Callithrix jacchus: one gene and its partner. The protein of the gene in region 2 interacts with the protein of the main gene of each other region in a pairwise test. Links are inferred from orthologs where the notes say so. Each region holds a gene or a part of one and is shown on either strand. Other genes may lie near its edges. The genes, in order: TIMP1 and CD63.

Region 1 (6,155 bases), on a different chromosome or scaffold from region 2:
AAGCACAGGAATAACCAGTGGGACTCCAAGATAGTCATTGGGCTCAGAGGACATCAGGGGCCTTCAGAGAACAGACTTGGACTAGCCAGGAGATCAATGTAACACCCTCTGGTGTCTGGAACAGTCAGAGCTGCAGAGGTGCAGATGTGCTGAGGAAGGGTCAGTGGGATTAGGGACCAGCACTTTGGGTTCTTGGAGAACATTCTAGGGAACCAATAACCAATCCCAGGGGCTCAGGAATAGACAGTGGGATTACAGAATAGTCACAAGGGAGAGTTACAGGGACCAGGGTCAGGCGATCACAGGGTATTTGACACAGGGCAAGGGAGCAGCCAGAATTTGTAAGGGAGCAGTCTTGGGCTTAGGGAAATAACAAGAGAGATCAGGGACAGCCCCTAGGGTTGGGGGGCAGCCACAGGGACACGGAATAGTCAGAGGGAGCAAGAAACAAGCCCATGGTTTAGAGAAGGGCCCCAGGAAGGATCTCCCGTTGGAGGTTGGGGTCCAGGCACTCACTGTACATTCCTCACAGCCAACAGAGTAGGTCTTGGTGAAGCCCCGGCGCTGAGCTAAGCTCAGACTGTTCCAGGGAACCACAAAACTGCAGGTGGTGATGTGCAAGAGTCCGTCCTGCAGTTTTCCTAGGAGGAAAAGGGGGGAAACCGACAAGCAGCTTGTGATTGGGTGAGCCACCGGGCGGGCAAAGGCCCAGCCTACTGATAGGCTGAAATTGGGGTGGTCCCCATTTCCAGTGGGGCCATTCCCATCAGAGCCTCGCCCCCTCCCGGTTGCTAGGCCGCGCCCCCAGGGACTGGTTGGCGTGGCACAGGGCGCGGGAACGGTGCCTCACCAGCGATGAGAAACTCCTCGCTGCGGTTGTGGGACCTGTGGAAGTATCCGCAGACACTCTCCATGGCGGGGGTGTAGACGAACCGGATGTCAGCGGTATCCCCTAAGGCCTGGAACCCTTTATACATCTGTTGATGGATGAGGGGAAGTGTCTCTTTTACTGACATAATCCTCCCATTCCACGTTCTTCCCTGAAGTCATATAGCATCCCGAGATCACAGCCAACTTTCTCGCACCAACCAGTGGCCAGAAGCTTCTGTTTTGACCAGGAGGAAGAGGTTAGAAAATGCTGGGAAAGGGGCAGGGGGAGTACCTTGGTCATCTTGATCTCATAACGCTGGTATAAGGTGGTCTGGTTGACTTCTGGTGCCCCCACGAACTTGGCCTTGATGACTGCAGGAGAGGAGGGAAATATGAGTCAAATGGACTGCATGAGCCAAAAAAATAAGATCATCATCTCATAATACCAGCAAAGTGTGTACATAAAGAGGGTTTATTGGATGCCAGACAGCACGCTAAGTGATTTACACACATTTGTTCATTGTTTCGTCTGTATGTTGAATGTCTCTCTTTGCCAGGCACTGCTTAAGCCATTTTCATATATTCATTTGTTCATTTACTCCACAAATATTTCGGAGTGCCCACTGTGTCCCAGACATTGTTCTGGGTGTTAGGGACACAGCAGTGAACAAAACACAGAGATCCCTTCCTTTGTGGAGTTCACATTCTAGCCAGGAGGAGACAGGCTAAGAACAAACAAAAGAAGTATATGGGAATGTTAGAAGATAGTAACGATAATGGGGAATTACACACCTGGGTAAGGGGATGACAAAGATTCTTTGCTTGACCAAACTTTACTCAGGCTCCTGAACCTTCTCCTAGGCCCATCTGTGCACTTCCTTGTAAAATTTAATTTTAGCAAACAGCCCTGGGATTAGTTTAGCAAGAACCCCTGTCCTCCATATCTGATCCTCCTCAGTCTCTGGTCATCCTTCTATCTGATCATCCTCAACGTCTGATCATCCTTGCTACCTGATCAGGTTCTTCATCTTCCACCATCCCCCAGGTGATGTGTGATTCTTCTGGCCTGCCTTCAGCAAGAATCCTGTTAGGTCGGTTTTGCCAGAATCCATTACCCCTGATGTTTCCTTTCAGTGATTTCCACCCACAGACCCTCACACTGGTCCTTGGCTGTACATTCCCACTGGCCCATGCTATATTCAGTGTTGAGCCCAATCTCTCCCCTCTGACTGCAAGATCCCATGGCAGTGGTTCCTATATCCATCACCATAGTCCTGAATATGGTCTTCCTTACTGTGTGCTATAATGAGTATCACTGAATATTTTTCTCTTTAACAGGAGATCAGGAGTACTAAGGGGCAGGGGTTAAAATTTTAAACAGGATGGCCAGGGAAGGCTATCCTGAGAAGGTGACGTTTGAGGCAGCCACCCATGTGGATACCTGGGGGGAAAGTGTACCAGGCAGAGGGAGCAGCCAGCAAGAAGGTCCTGTGGTAGGCTTGGGCCCGGAGTACACAAGGAAGTGTGAGGATGCCAGTGTGGCTAAAGCAGAGGAAGTGCAGGGGCAAGTGGAATCGATCCAGAGGTAAGTGACATTGTGAGCCCCACCAGACTGAGAGGGGAAACCAAGGCAGAGTGTGTGGGCTGAGTGGGATGAGAACTCACCAAGGTCAGAATTGCAGAAGGCCGTCTGTGGGTGGGGTTGGACACAGGTGCAGGCCCTGCTGGGGGCTATCAGCCACAGCAACAACAGGATGCCGGAAGCCAGGGGTGCAAAGGGGGCCATAGTTGGTTCTGCGGGAAAGGGGGATGTCAGGCAGGCCCCAGGCCAGCTGATCTGCAGACCTGGGCAGGTCATCCACCCCATCCCGCTCTGGGGCAACCTATGGAGGGGATTAGGGGACTGGATTTGGTCTTGAAGTGTTGGGGAATTTGGGGATTTTCAGGGGATTGGGGAGCCCAGAGGAATTTAGGATTTAGAGAGTTGGGAGAATTTAAGTTATTGAGGGACTGAGTGAGTTGCGGGATTATGGAGTTGTGGCACTTGGGGGAGGAGGGGGCTCAGGAATTTTGAGGAATGAGGGGATTGGGGAAGTCTGGAGGTTGAGGAGTTTGGGAGTGAGGAATTTGGGATTGGGGGGATGAATGAGTTTCGAGGAGGTGGAGAGCTTAGGGGTTGTGTATATTAAGAGATATGGGGGCTGGGGGATTTAGGGAGGTTAAGAATTTGGAGGAGGTTAGGGGTTTAGGGAGCTGGGGGAGTTTGGAGGTTGAAGGGGCTGGGGGAATTTGGGGGCTTAAAGCAATGGGGATACTTGAGGAATTTGAGGGCAAAAGAAGTTTGGGGCTGGGCGCAGTGGCTCACGCCTGTAATCCCAGCACTTTGGGAGGCCGAGGTGGGCAAATCATGAGGTTAGGAGATCGAGACCATCCTGGCTAACACGGTGAAATCCGGTCTCTACTAAAAATACAAAAAATCAGCCGGGCATGGTGGCAGGCGCCCGTAGTCCCAGCTACTCAGGAGACTGAGGCAGGAGAATCGCTTGAACCCAGGAGGTGGAGGAGGTTGCAGTGAGCCGAGATTCCGCCGCTGCACTCCAGCCTGAGTGACAGAGTGAGACTCCGTGTTTAAAAAAAAAAAATGGTTGGGAGTTTGGGAGCTGGGGGAGTTTAGGGAGCTGCAGGGATTTGCGATGGGGATTTAGGGGGCGATGAAGTTACGGGATGAAGGAGTTTGCGGCGGAGGTGGGAGATTTGGAAAGCATTTGTGATATTCAGGGGGGGGTCACGGGAGTTGGGGATGAATGTCAGGTGTTCTAGGGAGTTCGGAGCCTCGGGGCTGGGAAAGCGGTTTCAGCCTCGGACCCTCTTCCCCCTTGACTAGCCCAGGGTCCTGGTACCGGCAGGCCAAGCTGAGCAGACAGGCATTTGGCACTGGAGTGCACAGGCCTGGTGGCCAGCACCCAAGCTGCAAGCCAGCCCCAGTCCCTGCTGGGCCACCCTGGGGCCTTGCTTACCTCTGGTGTCTCTCTGGGTGCTGGATCTGCGGCGATGGCGGCAGGGCCTGAGCGCTAGAGGATAAATGTCCACGCTAGGGGCGGGGGTGGCAGCGGGTGCGGAAACCACAGGCCTCCAGGCTTCCTGGATGCATTACTCATCCACCCACCATCAGTGCAGAAGCCAAGGGGCGGGCCGGAGAAAGGAGATACACCCTCCTCCTCTCCCACCCTCCTCCTCTCCCTCCCCCTGGGCCTTGCCCAGGCCAGCCCCCTCCCCCATCTCCACGTCAGTCACTATTCCTTCCAAGCCGCCCCAGTGGAGAGCTTAGAGACAGCATTCACCCCAGCCTAGTCCCCTAGAGTCTCCAGAATCTATCCAATCACCCACATCCCCCAAGCTCCCTGTGGCTCAAACCCAAATTAGTTCAGTCCTTCAACATTTATTGTGCATCTACTGTGTGCCAAGCACACAAAAATCCCTTGTTTGGTATGTCTGACATGCTGGTGAGGGGTGGCAGAGAGGAAACAAGTTAAGTAGCAGGAATGGAGGGAGATAAAGCAGGTGAATGGGGAGGAATACAAAGTGGGGAAACTAAGGCACGGAGCAGTTAAGTGACTTATCCAGGATCAAAGAGTCAATACATGGCAGAACTGAGACTGGAACTCAGGTGGCCTAGAGCCAAAGCCAGGGTCTCAAAAAACACTGACAAATAGCTGGCATTTATATATCACCGACTGTATACTAAGCACTCAGTATAGTTTATCTCACTCAAAGATCACAACAAATCTCTGAGGTGGGTACCAGTTACTATTCCCATTTTACAGATGAGGAAATATGGGACGTAGAGGGACTGAAGACCTTTCCCAAGATCACAGGGTGTGGCCGGGATTCAAACTGAGGCTACCTGGTGCCAGGATTGTAACTCAGGAGTGGCACCATCCTAGCAGGCAGGGAATGGTGCGAGTGAATGAATAAGCATTGGGAAGGGGGTGGCTGTGAATGATGGTGGAAGAAGCAAGTGAGTGAGTCAGTAGAAAACCAATCCCCACCCCATGCTGCCCTGTGCCTTCCCCACGGACCTATGCCCTAGGTTGGGGTTAGGGTGGGGCAATCCTTGCCCACCAGCTTTTTGACAATGCAGAAATCTTCCCTGGGGTTCTGATGACCATCCTTAATTCGAGGAGGATAGATCCATCATAATAATGGTATTGATGATGGCAACCGCTTATTGAGCACTTTCTGTGTACTATGTGCTGACGTGTTTGTATAAATTATCTCATTCACTCACCATACTCCCTTGCTAATTAAGTTTGATTAACTCAGGTATGTTATCCCAATAACAAGAACACAACCAAAACTACCAGCAGCCCTCACGGAGTGCTTACTGCGTATCCAGCACTGTTCTGGGTGCGGAGGTGGGTGGGATGAGGAATGAGAAATTATCTAATGGGTACGATGTACACTATTTGGGTGATGGTGACACTAAAAGCCCAGACTCCACCACTATGCAATATATCTATGTCACAAAACTGCAGCTGTATCCCCTAAATCTTTTTTTTCTTTTTCTTTTTTTTTCCTTGTTTTCTTTTTTGAGATGGAGTCTCGCTCTTTCTCCCAGGCTGGAGTGCAGTGGTGCAGTCTCAGCTCACTGCAACCTCCGCCTCTGGGGTTCAAGAGATTCTCCTGTCTCAGCCTCCCAAGTAGCTGGCATTACAGGCACATGCCACCACGCCTAATTTTTGTATTTTTAGTAGAGACAGGTTTTATCATATTGGTCAGGCTGGTCTCGAACTCCTGACCTCAGGTGATTCGCCCTCCTTGGCCTCCCAAAGTGCTGGGATTACAGGCGTGAGCCACTGCGCCCAGCCTTCTAAATCTAATAAGAATGCATTTGGCAAGCCACAGTGGCTCATGCCTATAACCCCAGCACTTTGGAAGGCTGAGGCAGGCAGATTGCTTGAGCTCAGGAGCTCGAGACCAGTCTGGGCAACATGGTGAAACCCTGTCTCTATTTTAAAAAGGCCAGGTGTGGTGGCTCATGCCTGTAATCACAGCACTTTGTGAGGCCAGGGTAGGTGGATCACGAGTTCAAGAGATTGAGACCATCCTGGCCAACATGGTGAAACCCCATCTCTACTAAAAATACAAAAATTAGCTGGCCATGGTGGCATGTGCCTGTAATCCCAGCTACTCAGGAGGCTGAGGCAGGAGAATCACTTGAACCCAGGAGGCAGAGGTTGCGGTGAGCCAAGATCATGCCTCTGCACTCCAGCCCAAAGCACTGT
Region 2 (6,003 bases):
ATTCTCTTGCTAAGGAGGAGACTGGCCACACAGGTGTCAAGGCAACTTATCACCACTTTGAAAGGAGCTGGATCCCTGGAGAACTGGCCAGGGCAGGAGGTGCTAAGCCCTTAGCGGTGCACAAAAGGCCAGGAAGATGTCCAAGGTAGCTGTGGGCTGGGCTCTCCCAGGTGGGACCTTTCTGGGGAGCTGCTTTGAGTCATGCAGCAGATGGCTTCGTGAACGTTCGGAGTGAGCCTGGCGGCACAAGACTAGGGGGCAGGAAGCACCACAGTCTCTGGATTGCCACCTCTCCCACTGCCTGCCCAACCAACACCTTCAGCAAAGTCCTCCTTTCCCAAATGCCCCCACAATACACCTTCCTGAAGTACACAAACAGTAAGGTCCCAGAGGACAGGGAACATGGGTAAGGAAAGGAAGGAATCAAGCATCTCTCTAAGACAAACTCAGACCATCTCTCTTTTCCGTCTGAAAAAATAATCCGTTTAATTGAAAAACCTGGAGGATACTACTCCACTCCCCAAGATGAAGAGGGCGAAGAGTCCAGACCCTACATCACCTCGTAGCCACTTCTGATACTCTTCACGAGGCAACAGGCAAAGACAATTCCCAAGACCTAGAAAGAAAGATGGGGATGGGGGTGGAGAGGAGTCAGAAGGGCAAGCTACCCCAGACCCATGCAAGAGACCCCAAACACACACTCCCAGGCCAGTACCTCCTGCTCAGCACCCTCCCCACTGCCCCTACTCCAGGCACCCTGGACTGAGTCCAGCCCCTCCTCAGGGTTATCTCTCACCTCGACAAAAGCAATTCCAAGGGCTGCTGCAGCCACCACCAGCACGTTTTTCCTCAGCCAGCCCCCAATCTTCTCCACACAGCCCTGAAGGGTGGCAGGCACACAGGACAAAAGCACCATCAGAAACTTACCACCCCATCCCCCTCCCCTGGTCCATCGGTCTCTTCCCTGCCCCTGTACCTTTCACCCCACCCTTATCATTTCCAGATCCCCTCCCCATCCCTGACCCTGTCCACCTCCATCCTAGGTCTCGCTTGCCTCCCAAAACATTTCCCAGGTTTCCCAAGTCCCGTACACAGTCTCCTCCCTACCTCCTTATGGATCTGCTTCTCGGTGAAATTAATCCCACAGCCCACAGTGACATTAACGCAGCAGGAGTCAGGGACTCGGTTCTTCGACATGGAAGGGATTTTCTCCCAATCTGTGTAGTTAGCAGCCCCACAGCACTTAAACTGGGGGAGGGAAGAAATACGGAGAAGGTTAAGTGAACCTCCATCTTCAATATGGAGCTGAGAATTCCTTTTTTATTTTTTAGACAGAGACTTGCTCTGTTGCCCAGGCTGGAGTTCAGTGGCACGATCTTGGCTCATTGCAACCTCTGCCTCCCAGGTTCAAGCGTTTCTCCTGCCTTAGCCTCCTGAGTACCTGGGATTACAAGTGCACGCCACCACACCTGGCTAATTTTTGTATTTTTATTAGAGACAGGTTTCGCCATGTTGGCCAGGCTGGTCTTGAACTCCTGACCTCAGGTGATCCACCCACCTTGACCTCCCAAACTGCTAAGATTACAGGCATGAGCTAACGCGCCCAGCCTTGGAGATGAGAATTCTCTATTCCCACCCCTGCTCCCAATAACCCCACTCACATCTGTCTGCATCCTGTCCAGAATCGAAGCAGTGTGGTTGTTTTTTGGGTAATTCTCCATCTGCTGCCGGAAGTTGTTATTAAACTCTGACATTACCTGAGAGTAGGTAAGGAGCATTGTTGCAGTCAGAATTCAAGCACCTGGGTCCCTGCCAGGCTGAGGCAGGCCCTTCCCGTTATTTCCTGCTTACCTTATCTCTAAACACATAGCCAGCAATGGCTGCGGCCACCTCTACCAGCATGATAAGAGACAGGAAGATGGCAAACTGCAGGAGCAAAGGACAGGAATCAGGTTTGGGGTCTGCATTACAGGGGCCCATTCCGGCCCACTCCGTCCCTGGACACTCACAAACGTCTTCCTCACCCACCTACCCACCTCACCTCACCCACCTTCCTGAGCCCCAACCAAGCTGCCCTGGCAGTCCCAGACCACCCATGCTGGCCCCACTCCCTGCCACTCACCGTGATCATAAGACAGTAGTTCTCCTTGCAGGCCCCACAGCAGCCCACAAAGGCCACCAAGAAGAGGAAGACACCCACTGCAATGATGACCACAGGCAACAGGGAGCCAGGGGTAGCCCCCTGGATTATGGTCTGACTCAGGACAAGCTGTGCCCCGACACCCACAGCAATGAGTCCCACTGCACAGGCCTAAGAGAAAGGCAGGCGAGGATTAGGCTGGACCCACAACACAGTGGCCCTCCATGGTGGAGGACAGGGGTACACCCAGGACACAGACTTGGCCCTAACCAGAGGAGAGATTCTCACACCTCCAGTGAACTTTTTCGGCTGTGGGGATGGGGGATGACCCATCCTTGCCTGGCCCCAGCTCCTCTGACCCCCTCCAGGCTCTTTAATCAGGGACTTGACCAAATTCAAAGGCTTCCCAGAAAGCCTTGACCTCCCCCAAGGCGCATGTTTCTGACCTAGAATAAGGCTTTCTACGGGCCTCAAGGGTTCGCAGCTCAGTTCTCTCCCAGAACTGGCCCCTCGCTATCCTCCAGTGCACACCCTACGCGCCTCAGCTGTAACTAAGGTTCCTCTGGCTAGTTAGGCCAAGAGAAGGGAAGAAGAAAAGGGGGAAAGAGAGATGTGCCCCTCCCTAGACAAACAGTAGCCTCTCAAGACAGGAGCCCAGAGCAGGAGCAAATTGAGGTGGGCAGAGCCCTTCCTCACCCCCAAGCGCTGGGAGGAGGGAAAGGGGGAGAAGGACTGGAGAGGGATGGGGGTGTGGGTGAGGAAGAGAGGGGAGAAGGGAGAGAAGGGAAGCCCCGTGGCGATAGCATCAGGCGGTTGGCTGGTTGCCCCACTCACTGCCCCATATCACAAGTGGTTGGGTCACCAGACAGGAAGGGCCAGGAGGGGTGGGGGTAGGGGTTGCTGCACCCCAGGATGGCCATTCTCTGTGGAAACCAGCCTCAGGTGTCCAGGAAAGCTGGAGGAGGGAGTGGCCGCGCTGTCTTCCCCGGCTTTCCTTCCACATCTGGTCTCCAGCTGCCTTCATTCTTACTCCCTCAGCCCTCACCAGTGTGCTGCCAGGTCTCCCCGCACCCTGCCAGCGCGCTCCCCAGGACCCCTCGCCACTCACGCAAAAGGCCAGCAGGAGGACATAGAGCAAGAACTTCACACATTTCATTCCTCCTTCCACCGCCATGGCTGCCGGGCCTGGGGCAGAGGGGAGGGCGGGGGGATTAACACAGGCCGAGAGGGGACCTCGCCTTCCGCGCTCCCCGCCGGCCCTCGAGGGCTTCCCTGCACGCCCCGATTCCCGGCCCCTCCCACCCGGAAACCCGCGGTTGGATCCACGTCTCCCAGCCCCCTCTCCACCCGCAGGAGAGGGGTGGGGGTGACGGCCGCAAAGCCCGGACCCCGCCCCGCCGCCCGTGGGGCCCAGGACAGATCCAAGGACGCCGGCAGGGGCTTGAGTCAGAAGCCGATCCTCGGCCTGCCAGCCTCCCGGAGTCAGACACCCCCTCCCCGCCCAACCGGTCCGGACAAACGGTCTTCAGCCCAACACCGACCCCCACCCCGACCCCTTTTCCCTGGGATTGGACCTCTCCGCCCACGAAAATAAAGTGCGGCCCGCACCCCTGCCACACCCTGCCCTGGCCTGGGAACTTCGAAGCAAAGTTGCTCGACGGAGGCTGGAGAGCGCCGGGCAGGTCTCCTCGGGCCTGGGGCCAGCCCTGGAGGAGGAGAACGCCGGTGGTCTCCGCCAGCCCGCGCCCAAGTCCGCCGGGACCCCCCGGCCTCACCTGGGTTCCCCAAGGCTGCGCGCTCCTCTCCCGCCGCGGCGCCGGGGCTCTCTAGCTGCGCCCCCCGGCTCCCGCCCCGCCTGCCGCGCAGCCCCGCCCCGGGCTCCAGCCACGGTCCCCTCCCCCGCCGGGTGGCCGCCGACCTCCCTCATGTGACGCGGGAACAGCTGAGGTCTGAGTCACTGGGGCCGGCGCGGGGTGGGCCGAGCCCCCCGCCCAGCCAGGGCCACGTGGCCTCTACCCGGAAGACAGCGCCCACCCCCGAAAAGGGAAAGCCGCAGGGGCAAGACCTCGAGGCGCCGGGGGCCCCCCTCCGGCGCCCCCACCTCCGCGCCAACACCGAGTAGGAGAGCGGGGCGGAGCGCCGCCTGGGTCACTCTGGTTCAGAGAAGCGGAGGAGGCGGGTGAGAGTTACCCTCTCAGGGCCGGGGCGGAGAGCGGAGGACTAGTGACCCGGCGGTCTGAGAGAGGCTTCCCTATCCTTCTCCCACAGCCCAGCTCTCTCCTCTGGCTCCAACTCAGTGCGAGCCCCTCCCCATCCGACTCTGCAGACAGCTGTGGTCTGCCTGGGTCGGATGGGGTCAGAACAAGCACTTCTAGAAAGTCCCTGGCCTCTCATCGTGGGTGTCTCCCAACATGCTAGAGTATTCTAGAGTGGGGGTTTCTGGTCCCCTCCATTAGCACAGCTTCTCCATTTTCCAGGGCTCCTGGTCTGAGCAAAGAGGAGGAAACCCTTCCTCGAAGCCACACTCTCCAGTCAAAGAAGACACGTCCTCGTCGGGTCCCGTCCTCTGGGGGAGGATTGACAAGGTCTGTGCTCCCAACCTCCCGGACAGCTCCTGCATCCGCCTGCTATGGCGTGGGCTTGCGGGAAGACACGAAGGCGGGAGAGGCTTATGTCCTCTGGATTTCCCCGTCTTATCCCAGAAGACAAAGCCAGGTGAGGGCTGGAAGCGGGCTAGGGGGGCGAAGCAGCCTCCCTCCCTTGTGTGCCAGCGGTGGTCCCCAGAAGGAGCTGATCTGAACAGACCAGAGGGTAGGACCGGCCGTCACACTCCAGCCTGGGCCCCACTCCTTGGGCTCTTAGAGTCCTGCCTCAAGAACCACTTCCTGAGTCTTGGTGTATGTATGTATCTAAAGTCTTGGTTTATGTGTGTACACAAAGAAGGAAAGAAACCTCTGGGCTGAACTGAGAAGCAGCTTCCAGGATCATGGCCTTCCCGCCGGACACACCAAGCCAATTCCCGACCTTGTTCTCCCTAGCCATGGAGGGCAGGCTGTGGAGGAGGAGCGAAGAGCTGAAAAAAGGAGGATTCAGGTTCCTCATTGTGCTGCCACTAGATGCCAGGCATGTGCTAGGCACGGGGGCTGCAAGGAGAGGAAGACAGTGGCCCTGCCCTGTGCCAGCAGGCAGAACCAAGTTCTGGCCACACTGAAGAAAGGCAGAAGCCTGCTGCGGCAGCTGGTTAAGCTCAAAGGGACGATAGGAGAATGGATTTCATGGAGCAGGGTGGTGTGCTCAAGGTGACCTTGGAGAATAAAGGGGAGAGCTCCAGGGACAGGGAAGCAGTTAACTGTGAAAAAAAAAAAAAAAAAAAAGAGCTTTTTTTTTTTTTTGAGACGGAGTTTCGCTCTTGTTACCCAGGCTCGAGTGCAATGGTGCGATCTCGGCTATCTCGGCTCACTGCAACCTCCGCCTCCTGGGTTCAGGCAATTCTCCTGCCTCAGCCTCCTGAGTAGCTGGGATTACAGGCAGGCGCCACCATGCCCAGCTCATTTTTTGTATTTTTAGTAGAGTCGGGGTTTCACCATGTTGACCAGGATGGTCTCGATCTCTTGAGCTCATGATCCACCCGCCTCGGCCTCCCAAAGTGCTGGGATTACACGCTTGAGCCACCGCGCCCGGCCAAAAAGGAGCATTTTTTTAAAGTATATGACAGCTTGGGGTTGGCTGGCTCGAAGTGCTTGGGAAGGATGTAGTGAGATGTGTTGAAGGTGGTCTGAAAACCAAGATTGAGAGACTTTCGATACATAACAACCAACTTGGTCCTTCACTGAATAATTGTCTGAACAAACCAGCTGTGAAAG

The links.
Region 1: the proteins of CD63 (region 2) and TIMP1 interact in binary tests that used the Homo sapiens proteins (3 or more experiments, as listed by UniProt). The link is inferred for Callithrix jacchus from reciprocal best matches to the Homo sapiens genes CD63 and TIMP1.

Annotation. Positions count from the first base shown.
Region 1 is NC_133524.1:48,546,433-48,552,587, reverse strand, and holds the start of TIMP1 (metalloproteinase inhibitor 1), read right to left. Parts: upstream 3,927-6,155; 5' UTR 3,888-3,926; intron 2,665-3,887; 5' UTR 2,657-2,664; coding exon 2,536-2,656; intron 1,243-2,535; coding exon 1,163-1,242; intron 978-1,162; coding exon 851-977; intron 642-850; coding exon 517-641; intron 1-516. UniProt on the Homo sapiens protein: Metalloproteinase inhibitor that functions by forming one to one complexes with target metalloproteinases, such as collagenases, and irreversibly inactivates them by binding to their catalytic zinc cofactor.
Region 2 is NC_133510.1:63,927,361-63,933,363, reverse strand, and holds CD63 (CD63 antigen), read right to left. Parts: upstream 3,969-6,003; 5' UTR 3,749-3,968; intron 3,326-3,748; 5' UTR 3,315-3,325; coding exon 3,249-3,314; intron 2,312-3,248; coding exon 2,123-2,311; intron 1,927-2,122; coding exon 1,852-1,926; intron 1,758-1,851; coding exon 1,662-1,757; intron 1,249-1,661; coding exon 1,108-1,248; intron 881-1,107; coding exon 797-880; intron 617-796; coding exon 551-616; 3' UTR 461-550; downstream 1-460. UniProt on the Homo sapiens protein: Functions as a cell surface receptor for TIMP1 and plays a role in the activation of cellular signaling cascades. Plays a role in the activation of ITGB1 and integrin signaling, leading to the activation of AKT, FAK/PTK2 and MAP kinases.